Macaca fascicularis: one gene and its partners. The protein of the gene in region 3 interacts with the protein of the main gene of each other region in a pairwise test. Links are inferred from orthologs where the notes say so. Each region holds a gene or a part of one and is shown on either strand. Other genes may lie near its edges.

Region 1 (7,721 bases), on a different chromosome or scaffold from region 3:
CTGGTGGGGGCCGGGGAAGGTCCAGGTTTAGCCTGAAGCTTAAACAATTGGGGGGACTATCTTTACAAAAGAATACAAAATTAGGCAGAGTCTTGGAAGGGGCATGAGTAAGGAGGGGTCTTGAACTTAGTTAAACATCATCGGCTTCCCAGTAAATCTGCTCCTGGGGTGTGTAAATTGGAATTACTCTTTTGGATGGCAATGTGGTAACATCTGGGAAAATGACAATGTGCATATCCCCTGTGACCCAACAAGTCACATCCTCCACGTGTTTATGGGAGAAATTTCCAACAGGTAACTACAGAGGCAAATATGAGAATGTTCTTGGCAATGCTGTCTGCAGTAGCTAAAGGCAGCAAATTGGAACTATCCCAAGTGTCTATTAACAGAAGACTGGATAAACAAAGTCAACATGTATAAATCTCAGAACATAATGTTGCCTGGAAAGCATGTTGCAGAAGGATATGTACGGTACGCTGGCATTTTCATAAAGTGTGAAAACGTAAAACAATGCCATGTGTAGGTCATATGTGTGCAGTGAAAGTCTAGACTGTGCTTGGAAGTGAACACCACATTCAGCTTACAGGTGGCCTTGAGGATGGAGGGAGAGAGAGAATAAGATAACAGAAGGATGTCTAGGGGGCTTAGATGCCATCTGAAAGCTTCATTTCCTTAATACATAAAAGCAAACAAGGCAAAATATTAAGATTTGACAAAGTTGGGCAATAATTATATAGGTGTCTGTTAAAGTATTATATATATTCTGTGATATTTGAAATATTTCTATTTTTGTTTTTTAAACTTGAGCGAAATTAACATATCATCAAACCAATCATTTTAAGTTGACAGTTCAGTGGCATTTAGTGCATTCATGGTATTGTGCACCCACCAACTCAATCTAATTCCAAAGCATTTGCATTACCCCCCAAAAGGAAACCCCATAGCCATTAAACAATTGCTCCCCTCGGTGCCTGGTTAACCACCAGGGTTTGTGTTCTGTCTCTACAGATTTATCTATTCCAGATATTTTATATAAATGGAATCATACACTATATGACCTTTTGTGCCTGGTATCTTTCGCTTAGCATAGAGTTTTCAAGGTTTATCAACTTTGTAGCACGTATCAGTACTTCGTTCCTTGCTATGGCCAGGTCGTATCCATCATTTGGGTGTGTCGCACTTTGTTATTTAGTTCATTGCTGATGGCCACTGGGCTGTGTGTTATTGTGAAGAGTGCTGCTATGAACATGGATGTGCCAATACTAAAGTCCCTGCTTTGAATCCTTTGGTTATATACCCAGGAGTGGAATTGCTGGGTCAGAGGGTCATTTTCTGAGGGAACACCAAACTGTTTTCCACAGTGACTGAACCATTCACATTCCCACCAGCGACATACAAGGGTTCCAATTTCTCCACACCCAATACTTGACGTTTTCCATTTTTTGGATGCTAGCCAGCCTAATGGGTGTGAAGTGGTATCTCATTGTGATTTCTTTCTTTCTATTTATTTATTTAATTTATTTACTTATTTATGTATTTTTTAAGACCAAGTCTCACTCTGTTGCCCAGGCTGGAGTGCAGCAGCGTGATCTTATTGCAACCTCTGCCTCCCAGGTTCAAGCGATGCTCATGCCTCAGCCTGCTGAGTAGCTGGGACTACAGGCATGAGCCACCACGCCTGGCTAAGTTTTTTTAAAAAATTTTTTTATTTTTAGTAGAGACATCGGTCAGTCTGGTCTCGAACTCCTGACCTCAGGCGATCCACCCACCTCAGCCTCCCAAAGTGCTGGGATTACAGGCGTGAGCCACCGCACCTGGCCTCATTGTGGTTTCAATTTTGTTTTCCTAATGCCTGATGATGTTAAGCATCTTTTTATGTCCATATTGGCCATTTGTATATCTTCTTTGTAGAAACCTCTGTTCAAGTCCGTTGCTCATTTTCTAATTGGGTTGTCTTTTTGTTAAGTTGTAATATTCCATAATTAAAAAAAATACCTCCCCCGGGGTGGCCAGCGCCTTCTCAGGCCGTTTAATTCCGCATTCCTTCCACACATCAAATATATACAGCTTCATATTTACAGTCCACACAGAGGAGAACTGAGAGGCTTGGGGCCAGCTTTCTCCTCTTCTCTCCCAGGCACCTGCTAGCCCACCCCTAATCTAGAGCATGAGGAAGACGCCTGGAGGTGACTGTGCGTTGCGGGTCTCCTGGGAAGTGAGGAAGGGAGGTGGGGAACAGGGGTGAGGTGGAGAAGTGACTTTCTAAGTCAGCTGAGAGAAGCGTTCTGGGCGAGGGGGAGTTGTTTGTTCTGGAAGCCCCGTATGGGCAGGCCACAGAGCCACGCTGGCGCTGTCGGAGCAAGCTGCCAGTAGTAGACGGTTCCAAGGTTTCCCACACCCCTGTAGTCTCTGCAGCATTGGTGGGTTGGGTGGGAGCCTCCGGTCACCTTTCCCGCAGATGAGATCGCCCCGTCTCACTGGACTGTTCCTACTCTCAGGGGCACTCCCTCTTGTATGTTGAAGACCAGCGCGGGGCTGGCTCTCTGTGAATGGTGGGGCTGCGTTCATTGGCGTCCCGGGTTTCCTCTAAATGTAACTGCTTTGATTCCGCCTATCCCTAGGATTTAAAGTCACCGGTTCCACCCAGGTTGGGGTTCGACTCGACTTTCACCCCAAGTTCAATGATAGTCCTGCTCCCAGGCCGCCGCAGCGGCCCCTGCCTAGCCCCTGCCCCCAAGCCCTCCTTGGACGAACTGACCCTCCCCCTCCAATCAGGCAATAACAACCTGGGGTCCAATTTTTAAACAGCCAGGCTCCGACATTTTCTTTCCCCTCCAACTCTCCACGCCTGTGCTTCTGAGGGTGGGGTGCCGGAAAAGGTGTCCCTGAGGCGGCGACGGACCGCACCCACAGAATATACAGGGCACACCCCTCCCAGGTGAGGGCCAGCGGGCCCCGGGGAGTTGAGGCTGAGGGAGGTCACTTCGGCTTCGCGACGCCTTGAGCGCTTATCAGGAGTTCTCAGTAGGAAGCGCTTTCCCGCAGCCTCAGGCAGAGACCGTGCGCGCAAGGCGGGACCGACCGCAGGTGCAGAGGCCCCGGGGCTGCCCAAGGTCAGCCAGGGCACGCGGATAGCTCTCGCCGCCCCCCCAACCCCCGTCTCCTCCACTCCCACCCCACACACGGGGCAGAAGGACTGCGGCCGCGCAAACTAGGGCCTCATTTCCAGATCGAATTGGTCGCAAATACGTCCCCTCGCCAGAAACTGTAAAAGCCCAGAAGAAAATAAACCGGATTCAACTCCCTCTCATCTCCAGATCTCGGTTGGTAACACTAACGTTTCTTTTGCTGATTTTTTTTTTTTTCCGACACTATCTCCCTTCAAAACGCTGCGCACTTCTACCCAACCGCGCAAAGCGCGGCGTGAGCTTCGGCGGCGCCGGGCGCGTCTGGAGGGCCCCGCGCGCAGCTCTGGGACCAGCGCACCAAGAGCCGTCCCCGCCTGACCCGCTGCCAACATCCGACCCCGGTTGGGAACCCGGTTTTTCCTCCATAGTCCTGTAGACTGTTTCCCTCATTCCGTTGGTCTAGAAGGGGACAAACGACCGGAGGTGGGAGGGGGCTTCCCTGGCTTAGTCCCCGCCCTGTCCCTGCTGCCCCGATGCTCCCGGGACCTGCGGAGCTAGCGGATCCAGTCCGAGAGCTGTGCTGGGCGCCCGAGAGAGCGCACGGCTCAGCATCCCCCAGTCCCTTCCCTGGCCAGGAGTCACTCACAAACTCAAAGATGAAGAGCAAGTCGGGGAAGGTGGTGAAGACCGAGAAGCCACTGGGCAGGGTGCTGCCCCCCGACGCCGCTGCGGGGGCCATGAGGGCGTGCTGGCGTGGGCCTCGGGACTGGACGCGCGCCGCTCAGACTGCGCGCAGACCTCTCGCTTGCTCCGCGGAGCCCAGTGGCCTGGGCGCCCCCGCGCGCGGGTTAAGAGCAGGGGAGCCGGAGCAGAGGAGGGAGGAGCCCAGGCCGCCGCCCAGCTCCGCCCCCAGCCCCACGCCCCGGGAGACCCGGCCCGAGCGCCGCGGGCACCGCCCTGAACCTCCTCGAGGGCCCGCTGCGGGCGTGCAGAGCTGGGGACGGTGGACCTGACTCCTGCGTTCCAGCCGTGGGTGGCACCTCTTGTGGGAAGCAGGGCAAAACCACTTTGGTCAGGGGCTCCTCATACCTTTCTCGCTTCGTAGGTGACCAGTATCTCCTAAGAATGTTAACCATCAGTAACCGGGACCCCAAACCCACCAAGGCACCCCTCGGGTCACCATTGCTCTAACTTTGAATTTGGGTCTCCTTCATTTTGCCGCTGGATGCGTTAATGTGCGCGACCCACAGCTCCAGGCGGCGGTTTCCTGGCGGAACGGGACCGCCGCCACAGCCTGGGGGTCTGCAGTGGGGGCTGGGACCAGCCCCGGCCGCCGGCCCGTTCCGCGTACCCCGAGCCGGCGCTGGTTCGGCGCTGGGAACGTGCACCGGGGCCTCTGTACTTGGCGCTGCGCGCCTGCCTGAGGGTAGGAGGTTGCTCCCCAGCCGTGCCGGCCCCAGCAGAAGGCTGCTGGTGGTGGTGCTGGGGCAGGTCTGCCTTGGTTCCATGGGACAGGAAGGGACGTTACCAGAAGAGATTCATCTCTTTCTCTTGGTCTGGGCAGCCCGGGCCTTTGGAGGGTGGGACCGCTGCTACCTCCACCCGCATGTTCTTTGCTGCCTGTTGACTGCCAGTGTTTCCTGTTTTGTTTCTCTGTTTCACTATCTATTACTTTTTGCCTTAAAAAAAAAAAAAAAAACAAAACAAGTATTACTATACAGCAGTTGCCTATTTATTTTAATTTACTATTAATAGTGGATTGCTGTGTTTCCTCCTACAAACACTGAAGCCTGAAATCCGCCCCCGTCCGGATTCTCTCCTGCCAAGAGGGAATTGTCCCCGCAGCCTCCAGCTCAGACTCCCAACCCTTCTTTCTTTTCACTGGCAGCTGCTGCAGGCAGGACAAGGGGCTCCCCTCTCTCCAGTGGGGCCCTCATCTCTCCCTGCTGCACAATTCTTCCTCCTTCCCAGTCCCTAGGGAGAGAAGTACATTCGTGGACGCATTTTCCAAAGAAAAGTAGCGCTCCCATCAGCTGGCCATTCTAAAGCGCCTCTGGAAAGGGGCCAGGCATTTGAAATGAGAAAACCTCGATGTGCCTCTGAGAGCTGCTAGCTCGGATGGCTGCAACCAAGTTCACTGTGTCGGGTCCCCAGGGCAGCATCTCTCTGGGCACAATGGGCTGTGGGACTTCAGAAGCCCAGGTCCTCACCCACCGTGGGCATCTCATAGCTCGCTAGTTGGACCTGCTGGCCTCTGAGAGGACATCTTCTTCCTCCCCAGGAGACCGTCCTGGGAACAAGCCTTAAAGCAAGGTGGCTACAGGAAGCCGCAGCCTGCAGTGGGGGGTGAGATGACCCTCGGGCAGTCCAGCGAAAGCAGCTTGGAAATTTCCCATCAGCACACACTAATTAAAAACAAGAAGATCCTATCAACTCCTAATAATGTCCTTGCCTGGTCTGGAGGGGTTTTGTCTGTAGTTTGGTTTGGTATTTTGCTACTTCTTTCACGCCTCTGTTGCTAACTCTTCCCACTTGGGCCTGAGCCTTTGGGGAAAGCTCACTCCAGGGGCAGCTCAGTCGAGCTCAGCAGTCCCAGCCCTCCTTTGATAAGGCAGAGGGGCGGCAATCTCTGAAAGAGGCTTCAGAGGATGAGGAGGGCAGCCCGGCCAGGGTCAAGCGAGTTTGTCCCTATCTCTGTGACTCCTTCCTTCCACTGGAGTTCTCCGCCTGATGTTCATCTTCATGACTAGACTCTACCCTCAGCAGGGCGTCCTCCAACCACCCCCATCTGCCTCTCTCCTTCCCCACCCTAGCATATCCTCAGCCCCAAGCCGAACCCAACCTCTGGTGAGTGCTCGATGCTGGATGGCTCTAGCCTTGTCTGTGCTTGACCACCAGAGGAGGACATGTAAGTGCCCTGTTTGGATGTAAGAAGCACTGGTAAGGAGTGAGGCACTGGTAATAGAGAGGCTTTGGTAAGTAGAGAGGCATTGGTAAGAGAGAGGCATTGGTGAGAGAGAGGCATTGGTAGGCTTCCCCAGGTGCTCTAGGTCACCTGCTGATGAACGAAAGGCATTGGTGAGAGAGAGAGAGAGAGAGAGAGAGAGAGAGAGAGAGAGAGAGAGAGACATTGGTAAGAGAGAGGCATTGGTGAGTAAAGATGGGCCTGTCTTCATTTCCCAGCACAGCTTCCCCAAGTGCTCTGGGCCACCTGCTGATCAATGTGGTGGTTGATACTTATCAGAAGCCCAGGACCATATTTTGGTTTCCAGCAGGATATGAAAAAATAACTTCAGCCAGTAGTAACTCAGTGAGTGTCCTCAGTCTTCCCAGTGGGTGTGAATAAGAGGGTGGATCTGGGGCTTCTGTCAAATATTAACTTGGCCTTGGGCAGGTTTCCACAAAGTAGGAATTGGAAAGTTGCCATTGCAGAGCCAGCCTGGGGAAGGAAGAGGTTACCTCCAGCTTGTGTGTGTTCAGGGGGAGGGAGGAGATTGTGGGGAGAGGGATGTGTTTAGGGAAAGATTAATGGGGCAGGAGTTGCCCATTCATAATAGCAGGTGCATTGGTTTTTGAGGTAGGTAAGATGACTCCCATTTTACTGATGAGGTAACAGAGGCTCAGAAGTGTTAAGTAGCTGCCCAAGGACACAGAACTGCTGAGCACCTTGAACCTGAGTGACACTGCACCTCTAAAGCTTCGAACCCTCGATGAAAACCCTGCTCAAGATTAGCAATTGCCATTCAAATGCCAGTTCCATGCAGACATCGGCAGCCTCCCAAATCCAGTCTTCATGGTCATCTCAGGCGTGGCCCTGGGCACCTGCCCTGGTGGACAGGGCTTGGGACCTTCACCTCTGGGAACAGAAGGTAGTGGGGGTCGTCATCCCCATTTATGGATGCCGAGGCTGGGTGCAGACATGAGTTCAGAGAGCTACCCTGAACCCACACTTATCCCTAGGGATTTTATTTGTCTCACAGACACAGTCACCCACAGCCCTGGGTTCCATCGAAGGCGTGAAGCAGTGAGGGCACCTGCTGGTGGATGGGGGAATGGCAGCCGCAGCTGCCTTGGCCTCAGTGCAGGAGGGGAATCTGTTACTAAGGGCCTGCTAAGTCCCAGCACTGCCACAGGCACTTTGCCTGCATGGCCTCATTTAATCCCACAGAGCCTTGCCTGCAGGTGTCACCCACCATACAGGCTAGCAATGGGAGTTAATGTGCCCAGACCACATGGCTGGTGACCAGGCCTCTTGATTCCAGCAGGCAGGCTCTGTGTCTACTGCACAAATCCACAAACTGGAAAATCAGAAGTGGTGGCTGCTCACCAGGGCACTGTCCTCTGACGGGCCACGGGCTCCGTGTGCCCACTGCCTCCAGGGACAATGATCTGCATGAGCTCTTTTCCCCACCCTCTTGTAGGATCATGTTTTCTAGAACCAGGGAGATGTGGCACAACAGGCTGGCATTGTCTGGGTGTCTTGTGGATGGGGATGGAGGGTAGAGGGTATGTGAGTAGGAAAGACAGAGTCCCTGCTCCCTAGGAGAGCTCTTTTCAAGAGGGACAGCAAGTGAGGCTGAGAGGCACCTGGCC
Region 2 (7,467 bases), on a different chromosome or scaffold from region 3:
AACCGTCCTGGCCCCAGCTCAGCCTCGCGCAGACTCTGGCGGCTCCGGAGAGGCGGTGCAGAGCCAGAGGAGTGTGGAAAGGAAAAATGGCTCGGGAGGGTTGCCCGGACCCTGCGCTTCCCGTCCACCGCGCGCTTCCCCAGGCGCGCCCAACTGAGACTCCTGGGGGCAGGGGGCATTCTGCTCCTGCGCTAGACCCGCATGCTCGCCTAGGGGTCCAGTCTGCACCCCAGGCACTCAAAGCCAGGACACGGACCCCATCAAGACTGAGCTCCGGTCTGGGCGCGGTGGGACAGGAGCCCAGGAGCCTGGACCGAAGGGAGTAGATGTCCAGCGGATGGGAAAGAGAGACAGAGTAAAAGGCCGAGTCCGATAATTTCAGCCGGTCAGAGCTGGCAGGCCATCTATCCCAAGTAATGCGGTCCTCGCCCCTCATTTTAGACTTTGGGGGCAGTGAAGGCTGGGATGACTTGTTAGAGGACATGCATGGCTGTGGAAGATCTGACTGAGACTCTGGGGACCATTTCAGGCAGAGTCTTGGGCCAGGGAAACAACGTTTCAATAACCCAGTTTGGAAAGTACCCAATCTCAGGCCCCTCCGTTTCTCTCCACAAGCATCACATTCAAAGACACTGGAATGCGCTGGAAGAAATAAACAAGGATTTCTGATGACTCCCAGAGGGTTTGAATTAAACAGATGGCATGAGGCTGGGAACTGGGGAGCCACAAGAGTCCAGCACTCTCGGGATGTCCGCCACAGGGGCTGTTTTGCCACTGTGTCCCGGAGTCAACGCCTCTTCAGCAAGGCGAAAACTGAGACGCCCTTATGCTCTATCCAGACACCAGCACCATCACCCTTGCCCTGTAAGGTCTTACAGACCATAAAGGCTCCCCTCGTTGTATTACTCCAAGCCCCATTGGAAGGGAACAGGACACACAAGGGACCCTGTGCCCCTAAACAGAAGCTCCAGGGAGCTGGCCAAAGCCCCGCGCCTGCTCTGCGCCTTCTGACACCCTCACTGGAAGATGCCCACATTTCTCCTCCATCTCCTTCACTGTCCCCACCAAATCACTTACAGCCCAAAGGAACAGCTGTCCCGATCCTCAGGGTGGCCTCAAGTACAAACTCGGGTGCGTTGGCTCCGCTGCCGGCGCGGTCAAAGCTGCGCTGCGGGGCTGCGCGCGCGCGAAGCAAGGGGGCAGTGGGAGGCTCCCGGCGTTCCCCTTTAACGGGAACAACGCCCTGTTTGCGTCGCTGCAGTAGGGTGTGTCCCTGGGTCAGCGTGTGCGGGAGGGCGGGACTCAGGGAGGAGAGAGGGCAGGAGAGAGGGAGGGCAGGAGACAGTTAACTTGGCCTTAAATGCGCCTCAGGGAAAAGTCGGTCTCTGCAAAATCGCGGCGACTTTTACTCGAAACCAGAGGCGGCCGAGCTTTCTCACCTCCCACCTCCCTCCTCCCCCGGCCCCGTGGAGATCATGGAAACCTAGTGTTGACCGAGAAACTGGCTCCTCAGCCCACCCTGGGAAGACTCAGCCAAATGTAGCTCAGCGGATGCCCAAGGATGGGTTTCGGGGCGCGCCGACGCCGACCGCGGCCGCGCGGGGCTGAGGTTGGATTCCACTCCCATTAACAGAGGGCAGCGGGCGCTTGAGCGCTGAAGGAAGTCCCTCTCTTCTCGGGTCCTGGAGCCCCTGCCCTGTCCTGGCGTCTTAGCCGGGCACACCTGCACCTCGTCGGTCCCCGCTATTACTGTCTGCACCTACCAAGCATGCCGGCTTCCTAGGATTGGCAGGGATTGATCTAGCGGGCTCTGCTTGAGTGCGAATTAGGGAAAGAAAAGTCCGGCGACTACCGGATAGCGTGGTCTGGGATTGGGCTCCTCCTAGCCTGGGCAAAACCAGACTACCACCGAATAAGCTCAGGCAAAGTGTTCCTGCAGCAGTCGGGCTTGGCTGTCGGCCTTGGCTGGCGTCCTGGCCATGGGGTTTAGGGGGCGGGTGCGAGGTGGCCATTTGAGGTGGGGTTGGAGCAGCCAAGGAAATCAGCTGATTCATAGCCTCCTAACGTGACCCGCCCAGCGTTACAGGGAGAGAGGCTAGCCCTTCAGTCTCCGCTTGGCAGAGGCGCGCCCAACTGAGACTCCCGTGCGCAGGCCAGCCTTGATGCACAGGACGGGGAGCAGGAATGTGGATGTTAAAGGTCTTTGCCTGAAAATGCAGCAGTTCGCGCGCGCACACACACACACACACTTCCCTACCTCTAGTGTACTGTGTCATAGAAGCTCATCCCTCTCAATGATTCAAATAATTCTATATTAATTTACAATTTGAAAGGAGCTGCTACTTTAGCTAATTGTATATTCTTACTGTAAGTAAAAATAAATTTGAAAAAGTCTTCAAACGGTGATCTTTTTAAAACTCTCATGTTATCAGATTAAAATGAAGTGTACTTGTAAATTGTATTTACAGTTCCCATTACACGCCAGGCACTTTGCCTGGACTTTTGTATGCATGGTCTGTGAGAGGCAGTGGTTAGGCATTCTGTCTCTGGGCTCCAACAAACCTAATCACCTTGCTTACTTTTGTTGTGAGTTTGGACAATTTCTGAAGTTCAGTGAGCTTCAGTTTTCTCAGATGCAAAAGGAACTAGTAATGCCTGCTTTAAAGGTTTATGGTGATGATTGAAGGAGACAATATGTACAAAGCAGTTAACATCGTGTCTGCAACATAATAAGGGCCCAGTGCCCAAATTGCCACCACTATTGTTATATCACATTTAACTCTCACATCAACTCTTCAGGGAAGACCTGACCACCTCTGCATGAAAGTAGCTTGTAACTCTGATAGGTAGGTCGATCGATCGATCGATAGACAGGTAGATCGATAGATTGATAGATATTTATAAATGAAAGTGCATAGGCAAGTAGAAAAAAAATGTCTAAAGACCTGGAAGTGTTTTCTTTCCTCCATGGGTCATTTTATAGGTTAGATTTGCTCTAGAAATTATTACTTTGTTTTATGCTGTTTGGACATTTATTTATTTAACCAACATTTTTGTGATTACTACATACTCAGGACAGTTCTAAGTAAGCACTTTACAAATATTAGCAAATCTAACTCAGGATTTTCTTTCCCTTCCTTTGTGATTTTCAAATAAACTTTTTAATAAAGTCTAATACACATACAAAAAAAAGTGTACATATTGGGTGTTACAGGTCGCTTCTTCCTTTCTTTTGAACCCAATAGTTTAATCAATAACCACCCAGGTCACAGCGACACCATACGCTGCCAGACAGGTAAACCCAACCCATCTGTCCCTCACTGCCTCTGGTCTCCTGCCTGGCTCTCAATGGTGGGAGAGGAAATGCTACTCAGTGCCTGCTGACCAGGCTTGCCACACCCAGAGCCCGGCTGGTCAAGGCTCTGCCACAGGTGGCAGCTTCTCCCTAACCTGCTTACCAAGGCCGCCTGCCGGGTGTGTGTGAACAGCTATTTTCCATGGGGGAAGAAGCATCTAGATTCCTTTCTTCCTTTCAATCTGGATGCATTAGGGTTTCTAGATGCTCTCAGATGGCCCCCCACCTCCCCAGCCAGAGTGTATATCCACCTCTTAACCAAGGATATAAAAAACCCCCTGAATGTCCAGTCAATTCCAACACAAATGCACCATCTCTCCTGCAATCCTTTTCATTTGCAGCTTGCAGGGGGTGGGGAATTAGGCAATTCTTGTAAAGCATAGGCATGCATCACCCAGAGGCACAGGTTGCCAATAAAACTCACCCAGCCAAACAGCGTAACCCCTTCTTCCAAGCGGATTTCTTTGCAGTCAAATGCAAGGGATGCTGAGGCAAGGCCCTCCCCACAGGACAGCCAGAGACCCGCAGTCGACAGACTAAGCCTGCAGCTTCCAACCAGGCTCCCTGAGATGTTCCCTGGTGGTGCTCCCTGTAACTGAAGCCAGACCAGGCGTCTTTCCAGTTTATTCAGGGGCTGGTCCAATGCTGGGATATGTCATGGTGGCCTGAGAGGTTCTCAGCCTCTATTATTTAAAGAGACAGTGTCCAACTTTGTGTGCTTTCCAGAATACAGTAATCCCAAGAGGCCCTGCAGGGCATGGGGAAACTGGAATCAGAAGGGAGAAGAGCTTTGAGTATGCCTGAAGTCTGTGATGCCAAGGCTGTTCTCTCTGGAAGTGCCAACCTGTGTAATACCCAAGAGGCCCCACTGGCTCCCCTCCCCTCCCAGTGAATTTTGCAGAGATTAAATATACTCTGTGAAGGATCTGTGTCTACAGTGTTACGTATGTGCAGGTAAGTTTTATTTTAAATAAACATCATTTTAAGGGGCCCAAACATTGCACAGCTAATCTCTCACAGCATCACAGCAGTGAGCCAAATGTCTCAGGAGTCACCAAATCAAGCCTGCTTTGCTCCAATCCCTGGTTGGAAAGACTCTCTGTTGCCTGCTCTGTCTGCCTAGACCCCATCGCAAACGATCACATGTGTTGTACATTAGAATAAAACTTAGGGAAATGGGTTCTTCCGACTCTGTCTTTAATGTGCCCTCATCAAGCTGACCTTCATGAGATAATTCAGTGTAAGTAAACGAACCTCTACTGAAAGCTTTCTAACCTGTCAGGCAGGATAGGCTGGAAGCGCAATTGGAAATTCTTGGAGAGGGAGGTAAAGGAAGTTATGGCATTTTTAGGTTCTTTGAAGCGTACCCACTCCAGCTCCCAGAGAGTCCTCCATCCCTTGAACCGCTTCTAGCTGCAAGCTCCAACACAAGGGGACTGGTTTCATTGCATGAGTTTCCTGCAATTCTGGTACTCGTGGCATAAGACTTCCTCTTGTGTCAGGGATCCCCAGTCTGGAGAGACCTGCAGAGTTTGGAGAAGTCCCTCCCTGTCACACACTTTATGTGTGGTTGGACTCTCCGGTCACAAGGGCCTCTCAATGGCCCTCTCTCCTGTTCTGCCCACAGCCAGCATCTGCTCACAGTCACCATCACAGCCAGCGCCGATGAAACAGTTTCACCTTTCTCTCTTGGCTGAAATCATTTTTATTTTTCCCAGCAGTGGTTCTTTAGAATCACTCAAGAGCTTTGTGAATGACCTAGCCTGGGCCATGCTCAGAGAAGCTGACTCAGGTGGTGTGGGATGGGGCTCAGGTATGGGTAATTTCCAGTGTCTCTCTCCCCACTGGATGTTTGGTTATCCAGCCAGGTTGCCATGTGGGGTTAGATTGTCCCTGATTTCCTTCCAGCTCCCTTCTGTTGTGGAACCCAAATGGAGATGAGGTGCAGTGTGGGCTGCTGCAGGATTATGCAAGTTATAGGTCAGTTTTGCCAGGCAAAACAGGTGTGTGTGTGTGTGTGTGTGTGTGTGTGAGAGAGAGAGAGAGAGAGAGAGAGAGACAGACAGAGAGACAGAGAGAGAGAGACAGAGAGAGAGAGAAAGAGGAGCCTCCCTCAATCCTCCTCTGACATGGTCTGTACAGGGACCGGGAACAGTGAGCATGGGTTTTTGCAGCCTCTCCAGACAGCCTTTTCCTGGTTACTGCCATGTTCAGGTCCAAAGGCTACATGACAGAGGCTGCTCTCCCTCAGGCCAGGATCAAGCCTGAAGACATCTAAGATTATTTCTGATCTAAGAGCTAAAGATTCCGAGGAAAAGGGGCAGGGCCTAGTGAGTGTGGGGCATGGTTTCTGGCTACATAGGACCAATCTGATCAGCCCTACCTCTCTGCTTCCATGAGCTCCACATTCTGAGACCTGCTCCCTTGGCCTCCTGTCTCTTTTGTCCAGGTCCTCTGGCAGCCAAACCCTAGAGTCCCTGTTGGCTGTCAGCACCAGAGCTGGTTACTGTTGTGTTCCACCGGCCCTGTCTACCAAATGCCAACACACTTGTCTTTACCCATCTGGGCCAGACTCTCTTCCCTTCCCAGAGCCAAGTGAGGAAAATTCCTTCCTGGTCCCCTGTCTCCCATTTCCAATAACCCTGTTGTCAGCCAAATGGGACAATGTCTCTGCAAAGCTGTAGGCAATATCCCACTGAGCCTCTTGCAAAATAAACACATAGAATAGTCGCCAAATAACATTTATTATTATTTACTGTCCTCCCTTCCAGTTATGAAGAGGAAAAATGAGAATCGAGATTATCTGAGGAAACACAGTTGAGTCAATGAGACTGGCTACTTCCAGCACCTGAGTTGTTCTGCTACACCACGCTTCATCGGCTCAGTGGCATCAATCGTCCGCAAGTCCTTGATAATGATGATAATAGGTTATATTTACGTCGTGTTTAGCATATGCCAGGCGCCATCTTCAACATTTTATATGTGTCAAATCACTTAATCCTCACAACTGTATGAAATAGGCACCCCATCATCCTCTTTTAGAAGAGGGAGAAACTGAGGCACAGTGAGATGTTCAGTCACTTTCTCCAGACACACTGCAAAGAAATGATAGGCTGGATTCCAATCAGGCATTCTGGCTACAGATCCCATACTCACAGCCTGGGCTATCTCACATTCTACCGTGCCCCTAATTGTGCCCAGCACGTTCCTAGCATATTTTCTCACCATGCTTCCATAGACGCTATCATTTAATGTCCTATTTGTATGAAAGATATTCTCACTTATACACATTTATGCATTCATGGTTTTTTTTCCATTAAAAAGGCAAGGACATATCCTAAGACATCCATTTTTTCAGCACCAGTCACATTAGTACAGCTTTCAAGAATCCTGTCTCATCCTGTCAATAAGACTGTGTGCTCCTCTGGGGACATTTGCATTCCATACATCTGTACAGCACCAGCACTGGCAGAATCCTGCTTGTAGGTGACAATTTAATTTCATAAGAGTGAAATGTCCATGACAGTGGAATCCTAGCAGACTCTTGAAGAGGGAGGAAGCCCTTCTGCACTTTATAGCTAATAAAATGCTGTTGACATATAGCAGTATCTTATTTAAGAGGAACCATTATAGTCATTTTCTATGTGAAGAAACTGAGACTTGGAAAATTTACAATGTTTCCTCCAGGGACTAGCTAGTGAATGCCAGTGCTCGGGCTTAAAAATGTCAATTCCTCTGACTCCCAAATCTGTAATTTTTTCACTATGCAGGCTCCCCAGAGAGAAAACCAGAGGCAAGTCTGAATTTGGTGTTTGTCCCGGTGATGAAGTTGTTGTTGGAGCATCTATCCCACCAGGTGCTCAATCAATATCTGAAGAGTGTTTACACTAAGAATGAAGTCTTTCCTCTGTCCTCATAGCCAGCAGCCTGTGTGGGAGTTCTTGGCCAGCCCTGGACACAGCTGGCCTGGAAGGGTCCTCAAAAGTCAATCCTGCCTCATCTAGACTCAGCTAGATTGTTTTGATGTTGAGTGAGAGCAGCTTGTTGAAAGAACAAGCAAGGCAGGGAAAGAAGGCAGAGGGGAATGAAGGAGGGAAAGAAGGAAGGGAGGG
Region 3 (7,557 bases):
CGTGAAAATTCCCCTTGTAATCTTCTAAAATAGACTTACAGGGAATAACAACTATTGTTACCACAGAGGCCATTAAAATAAGACAGATAATTCCCAGGATCCCAGCAATGAGCTTCTCTGGAACTGACGGTAAATCTGCAGGGAGCGAAATGGGAACAGTGCGAAAGGAGAGGTGGACATAGTTGTTTAGAAGATTCAAAAACAATAGAACCTGAATGCACAGGAATCATATGGAGAAACTTGGACCCCAAACCCTCATCTCCCATTGTAATCTTTTTCTCTGAATAATATACCATTGCATTTTCAGTAAAAATAATGCTCATGAATTCTTTGACGAAGACTACACATTTCAACAATAAGTTAAATCAGTCTTCATATTTTATATTGAAATGGCATATCTCAACTTGAAATTCTGATCTTTACAAATAGAAAACATGTGAGCACTCCCTGCTCTTTCCCCACATCCCTGTACCCCAAGCTGCACATCCTAGACTGTTATATTGAGGATCTTTTAAATGCTTTACCTTTGCAGTGATTGGTTTTGTAATTCCCTTGAAAATCCTGCGAAGTTTTTTGAAGGTTTAATTCCGCATAGGTTATTTCCTGTTCAGTTACTAAAATGGAGCTTGTATTGCCCTTAGGTTTTTGCTGCTTCCTCTTTGGGTTTGGGGGCAGATTCAAGTCTGAGTAGATTACTCCTTGGTTATCCATCTCTGCAGTGTGTGATGTCAGGGACTGTACTCTACAATAACCGTAGTTAAGAAGTTAATAAATGGTTTATATACAATATTCCCTAGTGCAGTTAAAAGGGTGAGGTGGAGAACGAGTATTGGAGCTCATTTTGCATTAAAGAATCTAAAGTTCTTTCTCTAATTTTCTTCAAGCCTAAACAAGTTTCTTATGGTAAAATATTTGTTTTAAAAAATATATTTTTGGGTCGGGCGCGGTGGCTAATGCCTGTAATCCCAGCACTTTGGGAAGCCGAGGCGTGCCGATTACAAGGTCAGGTGATCCATACCATCCTGGCTAACACGGTGAAACCCCGTCTCTACTAAAAATACGAAAATTAGCCGGACACGATGTCAGGCGCCTGTAGTCCCAACTCTCAGGAGGCTGAGGCAGGAGAATCGCTTGAACACGGGCGGCAGAGGTTGCAGTGAGCCGAGATCGTGCCACCGCACTCCAGCCTGGGCGACAGAGTGAGACTCTGACTCAAAAAAAAAAAAAAGAGAGAAATTTCTACGTTTGACAAAATATTATTGCTGGGGCAATAAGAAGCAATAAATTACTAAGGAATAAAAAGTTCAGGAATAAAAATACATTTCTTAAAGTCTGATGCTTTACCTGTATTAAAAATTAAAATGTATTAGAAAAAGTTCTGCACTCATTTTTATGTTAATTTTGAAATCCAGTAATGGTTAAGACGATGTGGTCTGCACATGAGTAATAGTAAAGTTGAGATATATACACACACACACATATATATAAATTTCTTGCACTAAATTACTTTTATTTAGTAATTTATATACATTAATGAAAATCAATAGGGGTAATTAAATGGTCTTTTCTTAATGGTTGAAATGTTCTAAGAAATTATTAAAAATTATTTAAATTACTAAAAATGATTACAAATGTGAATATTTGTACATGTCAGGAAATGCTATATGACACTGTTAACTTATGAATAACCTAAATAGTATTAGGAACACCACATAAATTGTTAATACTTATAGAAGTATTGGTAATTTAATAAGTAATTGGTAATTTATTTCCTGGCTAAATTATGAACCAAAAAATGATAAATAAAAGTATAGGTAATTCATGTTAAAGCACATTTCATTTAAACTTATAGAAAGATTTTACAGTTGTCAAGGTGAGTAAAGGCCACTTTTGTTGTGTAAGTACTTGTAAAATTTCAGATAATGTAATTAAATCATTTAGTCAATGGGCTCTGGAGTGAGTGAGATCTAGAATGAATTCTAGCTTTGACACTTACAATGTGTGACCTTTAAAAAGTTATTCTATGTTTAATAACCCAGTTTGTTAATCTAAGACGGGAATAAGAACATATAAAACGTTGCATGTAAAACATTTACCACTCAACCTGGCACTTAAAGTTCTCAATAAGCATTAGCTATTTTAATTATTATTTTAGTCACAATTGTTATGTTACTGTTTCTGATTCGTGTCAGTTAAAGAATGGAAAATGAATCTTCAGATAAGTCTCCTATATCCGTGTGCTACATCTTTTTTTGCAATATTTTGATAAACTTTAAAAAAGTATTTTGATTGTTTTGTATTACCTTTAGCATTTTATGTACTCTACCTCATTGTGATTTTTATTAAAAATAAAAACTGCTTTTATTTAATCTACATGTCTGAGGAACTGTATTTGGCTTTCATCAATTGATTCATTTATTTTAATAATCTTTAATGGCTAAGCTAAATATAAATTATTATTCAAAGATACATGATGTACTGATTACAAAATACAAAATTAATTGTTCATTATTGTGATGTTAATAGGTTTCACTTAAATTATATTGATCAACAAACCCACTAGGTTTCCACAAACAAGAATTTGAAAACTTTAAGAAATCCTTCAACATATTTCATATGGTTTTTACCCTGAGTTATTCAAATGAAGACAGCAATGTTCTACTTTGATTTTACTGTATATTAATTATACCTCCTTTGTACCATATTGAGCACTTGTAATCACCCACTAAATGAGGTAGGCTAGTAGAGAGTTGGAGAGTAGCAACACATACCTTCTGTCCCCAGAAAGTCACACATCCTTTAGTGGAGAGGCCAGGTTAGTCTCACAAAAAGGCCTGCTATAGCTGGGAAATAAAAGGTGAAATTTAAAGGCATAAATCCAGGACAAGAACAAACAATGCCTACAATCTTCGCAGACTGCCCTGTGAAGGCTCAGAGTGAGTCAAGAGTGGAAAAAGTAGATTTCTCATCAACGTGTTACTAAGGTTTGAACAGGAAATTCTACACATGGGCTATTGTGAAATCAGTTTAATCTCATCACACACCTCCAAAATATAGGATACTCTGGTCTGTTAAAAGTACAAGGTTGACTTTGAAAGTGGGTCATTTAGTTGGTCCATTTTTCAAGCACCTATGAGAATTTTTTTTTCTGTTTTGATCACAAACATTGCCAACCCCCACCTTGTTAAGAGTGCCTTTTAGACTAGATTGCTAAATCTTAACATTGCATACTTCTTTTCTTTATATTATTTTATTATGTCACTTCCATTATAATAGAAAACATTCTAAAACTCATAGTAACATTATCAACTGATAGCTACTGATTTTTTCCTTAATTATTCTGAAAAATTACTGCAGTAATTACTCAGTTGACTGTAGCTGACACAAAAACCATCATTGCCAAAGTTATGTTATTAACTTAGTTCTTAAATTTTTGCATTTAATTTTTAAAAAATAGATTATTTAATCTTCAGATTACCATTGATGAAAATAAATGTATCTTGGAAGGGTAAAATATTAATCAATTTTGAAATATATTAGCATACCAGAGATTGAAATATTAAATAGCTATTCATCATATTCTTCATTTATCCATTCTCCACCATAACAAATTATCTCAACTTCGAAAGAAATATTTAGTTGTAAATGACAAAAACTGAAGGCAGGCTCTGTATCGGGAAAAAGTAATTTTAAAATCTCACTAGGAGAAAAGTCAGCAAATTGGCAGAATAGGTGGTCCCCCACACATATGCCCCAACAGCAACAATAATGTTTCAGCCATCCACAGACAAAAGTGGAGGAAACTCCCTTTGAGGGAGTTTTGGAATTCAAGTAGGAGTTTGTAAAATGCCAGTGGAACCCAAGACCTAGGAGGGTTGCTTTAGAGAATAGATTTGCATCCAAGTGGCAGACTTACCAACAGTGATTCCATCTCCAGACCTGAAAAGAGACCCATCCTCCTGTGGACTTGCCTTCAGCCGCATTAGGACTTCGTCATGCTGCCAAAACCATCTGTCCAGGGGCCCAGGAGGAGACTCAAACACTAGTGTCTCAGGAGGTAGGCATATCAACTGTAGTCTCAATGTAGACCCTGAAACAGCCCTCTAACTTGGCTTTAGCTACTCTCAGCCACAACTTTTGAGATCAGTCTTTCACCCACAGAGACTTCCTGGGAGACATATACATCTGTTCCCCTGGGGCATGCTTGCTGACCTCTGTCCTCTAGAAGATACTAAAATGGCCCTGAATCTCCACTCAAACTCCTCTCAACTGTGGCCTGAGTTAATCACAGGAAATTGCTGTGAGACTCACTCATCTTTGGCAGCAGTACAGGCTTGCTGACTTCAGTTCCATGGTAGTTTCTGAAACAGCCTTGAATCATGACCCTCATCCTTCTCAGCTGTGGGCTGTGAGCAGTCTTGCCAGCTCAGGGATACAGAGGGAGGGCATGTGCATCCATGTCCCGACTGGGAGACCGTTGACCTAGGTTTCACAGCACATCCTGAAATGGGCCAGAAAAGGGGGTTCAACCCTCCTCAGCTATGCTAGAGAGCAGTTTGCCCACACAGGGACCTGGAGAGAGACACCATAAGTGCCCCTAAAGGTACAGACCTTAGTTTTATTTCAGATCTTGAAACAATCCTGTGATCCAGCTCCAGCCCATCTTAACTACAGTCTGAAGCAAGTTTGCCTGCCCAGATACCTGCCAGAAAACACACTCATCCATGACCCCAGAGACAGACATGAAGACACTGGTTTCAGCTATAGACTCCGAGGAAACCTTGTGACTTAGCACTAACTCCTCTCAGCCACAGGTTGAGGAACCCACTCAGAGACCCATGAGCAGCCTTCCCAGAAAACTAGATAAACTCTCCCCCAACTACACACCTAATAATAGACCCACCATCTACAGACCCTGAAGTGGACCCTCATTCCCTCCCCAGCCCTATAGAGTATGATGCTAGAGCCAGTTTGGTCCTCTGAGGGACTAAGGAGGATACAAGCCTGCTAGAAGCCCTAGTAACAGGATCATGAACCAAAGATCCCACTCTGGACCCATAAGCAACCATGTGATCCGGCTGTAACCCCATTCAACCATGACACTGAAGGCAATCTCATCAGCCCAGGACCCTAATAGGAGAAGGTCTTAACCTACCGAAACCAGTCTGTAAAGACTGAAAGAGATGTCTGCTCTTTCAAGTGCACAGACACCAGTACAAGGATAAACAAATAACAAAGCATCAGACATATATGACACCACCAAAGGAAATGAATAAAGCTTTAGCAACTGATTCAAATAAATGGAGATCTATAAGTTTCCTTTAAGATAATTCAAAACAATCATCTTTAAAAATCTCAGTGAGTTGCAAAAGAAGAGAGTACTAAAAACTCTAAAACAAAAATACATGAACAAAATAAGAATTTCATAAAGAAATATAAACCACTAAAAACAACCAAACAAAAATTCTAGAGCTGAAGAACACAATGAAAGAAAGAAATAAGTCAATAAAGAGTTTCAATACCTGACTCAAACACGCAGAAGAATTAGTGAACTCAAAAAAGAGTCATTTAAAATTAACAAATTAGAGTAAAAAAAGAAAAAAGAATAAAAAGTGGCAAATAAAGCATAAGAGACCTTTGAGACACCACCAAGAATATGGTATAGAAAGTATAGAAACTTCAGAAGGAGAAGAGAGAGATAAAAGGTCAAAAATATTTTTTCTTTAAAGACATACTGTCTGGAAACCTTCCTCACTTGGGAAGGATATGGAAATCCAGATTCATGAAGCTCAATGAATCATAAGCAAGATCAGCCCAAAAAACACTATTATGAAGCACAATATAATCACATTGTCAAAAGTCTAAGATAAGAGAATCTTGTGGGGGGTTTTGTTTATTTTTTAGCTTAACGTGATCCCATTTATCCATCTGTGCTTTGGTTTCCTCTGCTTGTGGTGTATTACTCAAAAAATCTTTGGCCAGTCAATTGTCCTTGATAATTTTTCCAATTTTTTTTTCTTTCAATTTTTATTTTTAGATACAGGGAGTACATGTGCTGGTTTGTTACATGAATTTTTCCAATTTTTTTTCTTTCAACTTTTATTTTCAGATACAAGGAGAACATGTGCTGGTTTGTTACATGGGTATATTACACCAGGATAGTGAGTATAATCCAAAGTAGGTAGTTTTCTGAACCATTCTTCCCTACTGTCCTCTCCCCTCTAGTAGTCTGCGGTGACTGTTGTTCCCATATTTTTGTCTAAGTGTGCTCCGTGCTTGGTTTCCACTCATAAGTAAGAACCTTCAGTAGTTGGTTTTCTGTTCCTGCATTGATTTGCTTAGGATTATGGCCTCCAGCTCTGTCCATGTTGCTATAAAGAACATGGTTTTATTCTTTTTTATGGCTGTGTACTAGTCCATGGAGTATATATGCCACATTTTCTTTATGCAATTCATCACTGATGAGCACGTAAGCTGATTCCATATCTTTGCTGTTGTGAATAGTGCTGTGATAAAAACGAGTACATGCATCTTTTTGATATAATGATCTATTTTCATTTGGATATATTCCCAGTAGTGCAATTGAGGGTCAAATCATAGCTCTGTTTGAAGTATTATGAGAAATCTCCAAACTGCTTTCCACAGTGGTTAGTCTAGTTTACATTCCCACCAATAGTGTATTAGCATTTTCTTTTTTCTACAGCCTCACCAGCATCTGTTGTTTTGGGACTTTTAAATAGTGGTCATTCTGACTAGTGTGAGACGGTATCTTATTGTGGTTTTGATTTGCATTTCTCTGATGATTAGTGATGATAAGTGTTTTTTAATACGCTTGTTGGATACTTGTACGTCTTCTTTTAAGGAGTGTCTGTTCATGTCCTATGCCCATCTTTAAATGAGGTTATTGTTTTTCCTTGTTGTTCTGTTTAAATTCCTTACAGATTCCAGATATTAGACCTTTGTCAGATGCATAGTTTGCAAATAAATTTTCCCATTCTGCAGGCTGTCTGTATATTTCATTAACAGTTTATTTTGCTGTGCAGAAGCTTTTTAGTTTAATTAGGTCTCATTTATCAATTTTTGTTTTTATTGCCATTGATTTTAAGGACATAACCAAAAAATTGTTTGCCAAGGATAATGTTGAGAAGGGTATTTCCTAGGTTTTCTTCTAAAATTTTTAGATTGAGGTATAACATTTAAAATTTTAATTATCTTGAGTTAATTATTCTATATGGTGAAAGGTAAGGGTCCATTTTAACTCTTCTGCACATGGCTAGCCAGTTATACCAGTGATACAGGAACTAGAAAGAAATTATTTAGGCAGATAGTGAGGGTGAAGGAATCCTCAGCAAGGCTTCCCTTTTAACAAAAAGCAGCCCCAAATAACTTCTTTTCTAACAAAGAGTAGCCTGAAAAATCGAGCAGCAGACGTAGATAAGCAGGCTGGAAGGTTGCATGCATGAATGATGGCAGCTGTGCCAATAGAAAAGGGACTGACTGGAAGTCAGGTATTTTCAACATGGAGGCTCCATCTTCCCTTTTCTTTGTCACTAGTAA

The links.
Region 1: the proteins of KLRC1 (region 3) and MAL interact in binary tests that used the Homo sapiens proteins (3 or more experiments, as listed by UniProt). The two-hybrid records come from large-scale screens. The link is inferred for Macaca fascicularis from reciprocal best matches to the Homo sapiens genes KLRC1 and MAL.
Region 2: the proteins of KLRC1 (region 3) and PMP22 interact in binary tests that used the Homo sapiens proteins (3 or more experiments, as listed by UniProt). The two-hybrid records come from large-scale screens. The link is inferred for Macaca fascicularis from reciprocal best matches to the Homo sapiens genes KLRC1 and PMP22.

What each region holds. Positions count from the first base shown.
Region 1 is NC_088387.1:711,807-719,527, reverse strand, and holds the start of MAL (myelin and lymphocyte protein), read right to left. Parts: upstream 3,953-7,721; 5' UTR 3,868-3,952; coding exon 3,775-3,867; intron 1-3,774. UniProt on the Homo sapiens protein: May be involved in vesicular trafficking from the Golgi apparatus to the cell membrane. Plays a role in the maintenance of the myelin sheath, and in axon-glia and glia-glia interactions.
Region 2 is NC_088390.1:15,314,284-15,321,750, forward strand, and holds the start of PMP22 (peripheral myelin protein 22), read right to left. Parts: upstream 3,953-7,467; 5' UTR 3,780-3,952; intron 1,202-3,779; exon of another isoform or gene 1,078-1,201; intron 38-1,077; exon of another isoform or gene 1-37. UniProt on the Homo sapiens protein: Might be involved in growth regulation, and in myelinization in the peripheral nervous system.
Region 3 is NC_088385.1:10,465,132-10,472,688, reverse strand, and holds the start of KLRC1 (NKG2-A/NKG2-B type II integral membrane protein), read right to left. Parts: upstream 4,290-7,557; 5' UTR 3,917-4,289; intron 2,950-3,916; exon of another isoform or gene 2,844-2,949; 5' UTR 2,772-2,843; intron 743-2,771; 5' UTR 712-742; coding exon 525-711; intron 136-524; coding exon 40-135; intron 1-39. UniProt on the Homo sapiens protein: Immune inhibitory receptor involved in self-nonself discrimination.